Macaca fascicularis: one gene and its partner. The protein of the gene in region 2 purifies or fractionates together with the protein of the main gene of each other region. This does not show direct contact. Links are inferred from orthologs where the notes say so. Each region holds a gene or a part of one and is shown on either strand. Other genes may lie near its edges.

The links. Proteins that work in one complex are often made in the same cells at the same time.
Region 1: the proteins of BIRC2 (region 2) and TANK purify together in Homo sapiens (affinity purification with mass spectrometry; 4 studies listed by BioGRID and IntAct, with this or other methods). This does not show direct contact. The link is inferred for Macaca fascicularis from reciprocal best matches to the Homo sapiens genes BIRC2 and TANK.

What each region holds. Positions count from the first base shown.
Region 1 is NC_088386.1:56,627,864-56,631,519, reverse strand, and holds part of TANK (TRAF family member-associated NF-kappa-B activator), read right to left. Parts: intron 1,934-3,656; coding exon 1,825-1,933; intron 728-1,824; coding exon 609-727; intron 1-608.
Region 2 is NC_088388.1:101,372,410-101,376,065, reverse strand, and holds part of BIRC2 (baculoviral IAP repeat-containing protein 2), read right to left. Parts: intron 2,649-3,656; coding exon 2,570-2,648; intron 1,882-2,569; coding exon 1,833-1,881; intron 1-1,832. UniProt on the Homo sapiens protein: Multi-functional protein which regulates not only caspases and apoptosis, but also modulates inflammatory signaling and immunity, mitogenic kinase signaling, and cell proliferation, as well as cell invasion and metastasis.

The DNA of each region.
Region 1 (3,656 bases), on a different chromosome or scaffold from region 2:
TTATTTATATACACACACGCACACCCACATATATGTACATATGTATGTGGATGTGGCTTTTAATTATTTAGAGACAGGGTCTCACTCTGTTGCCCAAGCTGGAATGCAGTGTCATGATCATGGGTCACTGTAGCAGCCTTGATCTCTCAGGCCCAAGCAATCCTCCCACCTCGGCCCACTGAGTAGCTGGGACTACAGGCATGTGCCATCCTGTGTGGCTAATTTTTAAATTTTTTATACAGATAGGGGTCCCCCTATGTTGCCCAGGCTGGTCTCAAACTGTTGAGCTCAAGTGAACCTCCCTCCTTCACCTCCCAAAGTGTTTGAATTACAGGAGTGAGTCACTGTGCCCAGTCCTATTTCTTTGTTAAATCTTTTCTTTGTTGAAATGCTTGTGATGTAGAAAAAAGGTTAGTAGGAAATACAAAACCTTAGCCTTTATTTTACTTGAAAATAGTTCTTCTATTCAGAAATATTTAAGTCACATATTTATATACATGGAACTTCTGTTTGGAATTCCCGTGGTAGATCACTTCAGAAAAATAAAATGAGGAAGCTAGGTTACGCATCAGCATTTGAATGCTGCTTTCTGCAGAAGCAATGTCTACCTTTGGTAGCTTTTCCTTTGCTATTCCTGAAATCACTTTATTATGTGGCTGATCAACAGTCAAATTATTCTTCCTTGTTTCACTGTCTTCAAGCAGAGGAACACAGCCATAATTGCCATCTGCAAGACAAAAACCTCTTGGATATTAGCAGAAAACCCTTATTTTTGGTACCACCTGAAAAAGCAAAAGTAATACAAACTCAAAACCGTAAAGAGAATAGATTTTAAGGTAGGAGTTTTAGAAAATTCTTTAGGTAATAGTTACTTTGACAAGTTGTCCATTTACATTTTTTCCTTCCCACTAAACATACAAAACCCCTGCTCTCCAAAAGTCAGCAGTATGTAAAATATACAGAATTTAGAAAACTAGAAATATGCTCTTTGCCCCTGTCAGCAACAATTCAACTTTTATATAAGTCATATTTTCAGGTATGCATTTCTTATTTAAGATAATTATTTGTATTATGACTCCATGCTTATCATAGGAAAATTAGAAAATGCAGACAGCCAAAAAGAATAAAAAGTAAATGTTACCCAAATTTTTATCACCTGTGAATTATTCCAGTTAATACTTCTGTTCCTAAACACATAAATTCACACAAGAATCACCTTTTTCTGCATAAATGAAAATAACACTTATTTACGTATCCTGCTTCGTTCATTTTGCTATATATCATCAACATATTCTTACAAGTTAATACTTATTATCACTTTTCTTGGCTACATAGCTATTCATATAGATCACTGTAACTATTGAATATTTGTTTCTAGCTTTCCATGATTAGAAATTATACTGCGATACACATCCTTGCATATATATTTTTGAGTACCTGAACAAATGTTTTCTCATGATATAGTCTTAGGACTTGAGTTTTTGGTTCAAAAGGCATGGATGTTTTCAAAAGCTTTTGCTGCTATTTACTGGCAAATTGCTTTTTAGAAAGTTTTATAAACTTAGAGTTCCACTGTATTGTATAGTATAGTATAGTATAGTATAGTATAGTATAGTATAGTATAGTATAGTATAGAATAGTATAGGTGAAAGTCCACTTTCCCATATCCTGCAAGTGTTCATTTAAATAAATGTAACATATAACTGTACCACAGTTATAATATCAAAACTACTGAGAAACAACGAAGGAATAAAACAGAAGAACTCAGCTTACACTTTTCACCAAGAGGTTCTAGAAATACATAAAAAATTAACATGCACATACCTTGAGTGGAATTCACAAGAAGTAACTGTGATTTTAGCTTGTCAATAATAGTTTGTTGAAGTGACAGCTGTTCCTGTTGTTCACGTATTCTCTGCTCATAGTTCTCAGTCTGCTGACATAAAAACCAGTTAGCCTGATATTTACTGACAGACATGAACACATTATTTACCATCCATTAATAATATAAATAGATATGAGTTGCCCACATTGTCATTTTGCAGGTATTGTGATTTATGAGATACAAACTGGCTCCAGGAATGTACTTGTAATTGCTACAAACATTTGTGATTGAAGACACTTAAAGCACCGTAAAAGTTTTAAAGATTATCTTATTTGGCCAGGCGCGGTGGCTCATGCCTGTAGTCCCAGCACTTTGGGAGGCCGAGGTGGGTGGATCATGAGGTCAGGAGATCGAGACTATCCTGGCTAACACGGTGAAATCCCGTCCTACTAAAAATACAAAAAAAATTAGCCGGGCATGGTGGTGGGCGCCTGTAGTCCCAGCTACTTGGGAGGCTGAGGCAGGAGAATAGCATGAACCTGGGAGGTGGAGCTTGCAGTGAGCCGAGATCGCGCCACTGTACTCCAGCCTGGTAGACTGAGCAAGACTCCGTCTCAGGAAAAAAAAAAAAAAAAGGATTATCTTATTTAAACACATATCAGTCAAGGATTCAATCTACGATTTCCTGATCCTTCAGTAAGGATCAAAACTGTAATTTAGCATTTATTCCTTAAAGAAAAAAAAAGCACAAATGAAACAACAAATACTATATTAAAATGATTTTTTAAAAAATACACACTAACTTAAAAAATTAAGATTTTGTGTCTTTCAAATAAACACACTTCTAAATTTATTTTTAGGGTACACAAACACTAAGGAAGTGTTGATAAAAATCAAAGGGACAAATACAAATTATAAAATTATAATGACCAGAAACTTGTCTGCTAAGTTTTAAGAAATTAAGAGAACACCATGGTTGACCTTTGGTGTCTATCTTAAATGCCATAGTTTCCCTTATATTGTTAATCCATTCATTTTGCTATTTTATTACAATGACTGTGAAAATACAGCAATGAAATAAGACACAAGTTTGTACTGAAGAATACAGATGCCGCAAACCTTCAAGCAAATTTGAAACTGTTGTATCACAATTACCAAATTAGTACAGTCTTAAAAACGTATCACCAAACAGTAACAGAGAACTTTTTTTTTTCTTTAACCAATTTCTATCCCTGGAGGGATAAATAATGTTTAAGTTGCAAATTCCTTGAAATATAAAATGAAAATGAAGTTCTAATAATCTCAGAATGATATTCAGTGGATACTATTTGACTTTAAACTGATTCTTTTTTTTTTTTTTTTTTTTTTGAGACGGAGTCTCGCTGTGTCTCCCAGGCTGGAGTGCAGTGGCGTGATCTCGGCTCACTGCAAGCTCCGCCTCCCGGGTTCACGCCATTCTCCCGCCTCAGCCTCCCAAGTAGCTGAGACTACAGGTGCTCGCCACCACGCCCGGCTAGTTTTTTGTATTTTTAGTAGAGACGGGGTTTCACCATGTTAGCCAGGATAGTCTCGATCTCCTGACCTCGTGATCCACCCGCCTCGGCCTCCCAAAGTGCTGGGATTACAGGCTTGAGCCACCGCGCCCGGCCTAAACTGATTCTTAAAGTTCAAAATTAGTGAAGCTCTATTATTTTCAGAGACCAATAAACTTAAAAATTTTAATAAATTACACAGCTGTTCATAGATTAGCAAATATAAATTAGCTTAAGAAATTAAAGCTGGCAGTGAAACTCCGTCTCTACTAAAAAATACAAAAAACTAGCCGGGCGAG
Region 2 (3,656 bases):
GGCACCACTACACTACAGCCTAGGTGACAAAGTGAGACCTTGTTTCAAAAAAAGAAAAAAGAAAGACAAAGCACCCAATGATTATCAAATGCTGGTTAACAGGTCAAGTGGTGGATTTGCTAACATGGCAGTCCTTGGTTACCATGACAAGAACAGTTCCAGCAGAACAAGTAAGAGAAAGAATGAAAGGTGAGAAAGTAAAACAGAGTAAGCATAGATAAATCTTCCTAGGTATTTTGTTGTAAAGGGAAGCAGAGTAATAAGATAATAGCTGAATGGGGACATTGGTTCATGGAAGTTTTCCTAGGATTAGCAAAAGTACATTATGTTTATATGCTAACATGAATGATTCAGGAGAGATGGAAAAATTGAAGACTCGAGAGAAAGGGTATGTCACTGCCAAAGTAACCTTCTTAAGTTGGCAGCAGGGGATGGAATACAGAGGAAAAGTGGAAGTATTGGCCTTAGAAAAAGGAAAGAACAATTCATCTCTTATGAACGAACAGAAAGAAAAGTACAAGGATAAATTATGTAGCCTTGTGGTTTTGCTGGTGAGGCAATAAAGCAGCTCTCTTTTGGATTCTATTTTCTTAGGGAAGCAAGGTTATAAACTGACAAGGTGGGAAGAGAGTGTTAGAAAATTACCAAGAAAGAAAACAAGAAACAGTCATTTAAAGATTGACAAAGTGATTTTATTAGGAACTACGGTAGAACTTCAGGGGAGCCTACTTGACAGCAGTGGTTAAAAATTTTAAGAACAGCCCACACTGCTATCTATCTTTTCTAGGTCCATTACACAAGAGATAGCTGTCATGTACCCAGGTACTCTCCTTCCTATTTCCCAGTCAAATACTACCAAATCCTTCATCCAGTCCTCCTGAGCCATGGTTTCTAAGATTCATACATCTTGGTCACCTTTCTCTGGTCCAGTTAACAAATCTACCAGTATCTTTCTTGAAATGCTGTGCCACAAACAGAATGGCCCTTGGTACATAAAACAGTGGATTATTACCTTAGCCATTTTAGACACCATAACATATGTATATTACATAAACTGGCAGATGTGGCTAACATTAAGCTCTAATCAAAAGCTATACTATTTCCTGCCCTTGCGTTGAAATACAACATACCTGACTTAAATACCTAACATCTAGTCCAATTCGTAAATCATATGTGAACTGCTTTTCCAAATCATGCTAGCTCACAGCAACCTTTTCTTTTCTGGGGGGCTTATTATCTGGGGGGCTTATTATTTGCACCGCTTATTTGGCATTGCTTCAAGCTATCTGTTGTTTTTCTTTTGCTTATGTCTCATTTCTCCAGTTGGAATGTCAGCACTAAAAGTGGTAAGTATAGCACTAGAACAAAAACTAGTGTGTAAGCATATATATATATATATATAAAATATTTATTAGCTGACTTCCCAGTATTTTTCCCTATGGCTTCAGAAACTCTTTTAAAAAGTACATACTTTCATTCCTACATTTGTTTTTTTTTGGAGACCGAGTCTCACTCTGTCGCCCAGGCTGAAGTGCAATGGCACAATCTCAGTTCACTGCAACCTCCGCCTCCTGGGTTCAAGCAATTCTCCTGCCTCAGCCTCCCGAGTAGCTGAGACTACAGGCGCATCACGCCTGGCTAATTTTTGTATTTTTAGTAGAGACGGGGTTTACTATGTTGGCCAGGCTGGTCTCGAACTCCTGACCTCAGGTGATCTGCCAACCTCGGCCTCTCAAAGTGTTAGGATTACAGGCATGAGCCACTGCACCCAGCCTATTCCTAAAATTCTTATAAAAATTTACACTCTATACTTAAAATTATTTCATACATACTTGGTGGGTCAGCATTTTCGTCTCCAGTAGTATCCGAAGTTGACAACAGCTATGAAACAAGAGAAAAGTTAATAGGTAAAATCAGATATCCCCAACAATCTGAAAGGAACAACACTAAAGTAAGTTTATGTTAAGTATATGTATATATTCTATTGAGAACTGAGTGATTTATGAGCTTTACTTTGCTTTCTTTCACCCTAATCACATAGATTTCCTTAAATTTCATGTTATCCCAAATTAGAATTCAAGTATTTCTCTAGTTTCAGGAAAGTAGAAAAATGTATCAGTGGTTTCTCATTCCATTAGGAAAATAAGATTTTAACTGGGTTACTCTCAAAGGGTCTCAGAGCCTAACAAGTTATTTTTTGTTTGTTTTTCTGGAAAACAGCAAAGAGACACTAAACCTCCTTCTCTAATCCCATCACAAATTTGTACAGTGGCAGCATAAATGATTTTTCAAAATAGTAAAAACAAACAACAATCTTTTTAAAAAGCCCTAAACAATCAAGTTGATTACAAAAGTAAAAATCAAAGTTGTCATTAACATCAATGAAAATATGTACCTACAATTAATAAAAGAGAAATAAGTATAACTTCTAATACAGGTTGGTACAAAAGTGGTCACGGTTTTGGTCATGATTTTCAATGGCAAAAACCATGATTACTTTTGCACCAATCTAATAGTATTTTTATTATAAAGCAGAATTCAAAGTTGTTGATTTTAAAAATATATTTACCTGTTCAAGAAGATGAGGATATCTACCTTGAATCTCATCAACAAACTCTTGACCTTTCATTCGTATCAAGAACTCACACCTAAAACATATGAGGAAAATTATTTTTTAAAATTGTTCCATATCAATATAACCTGACCATTCTAGAAAAAATGGCTTTCAAATCTTTCATTGTACCCCACAGTAAAAACATTTTACATCACAACCCAGAACACATACATATCTAACGGGAACAAAATTATCATAAAACAATATACATCTTACTGTGTGTTATATATCATGGTATTTTCTTTTTTTTTTTTTTTTTTTTTTTTTTTTTTTTTTTTTTGAGACAGAGTCTTGCTCTGTCACCCAGGCTGGGGTGCAGTGGCCGGATCTCAGCTCACTGCAAGCTCTGCCTCTCGGGTTTAGACCATTCTCCTGCCTCAGCCTCCCGAGTAGCTGGGACTACAGGCGCCCGCCACCTCGCCCGGCTAGTTTTTTGTATTTTTTTAGTAGAGACGGGGTTTCACCGTGTTAGCCAGGATGGTCTCGATCTCCTGACCTCGTGATCCGCCCGTCTCGGCCTCCAAAGTGCTGGGATTACAGGCTTGAGCCACCGCGCCCGGCCAATATATCATGGTATTTTCTAATTCAATCCATTAACACAACAACAACAAAAAGAAAAGCGTCTGCACCTACAAAGGGGAACAAGTTGACTCCCAAAAAACACTATTATACACAATTTATTTTGTGCTTAAAGTGAACTACTTAACAGTTTCAGATACTATTAACTTAGTATTCCTACAACATGATCTTTCACAATATAACTGCTCATCTTTCTTCAATGTTCACTCTTCCATTACATTTGAGCCACAATCCACTACCTTCCCTCCAAAAAATATGGAATCAAATATTTTTATCTATATATAATGTGACAGTGTTTCTCAAGTATTTGTTTTTAAACTGATAGGGCTTCTTGAAGATGTTCCAAGAAGTTCACATACCATCTATATCCATTCTACTCCTTTTGTTTCTTCAACAAATGATACTCTACAACAGGATATACGTATTTAAAAAACAAAAAACTCTGACCTATGCCCATATTATA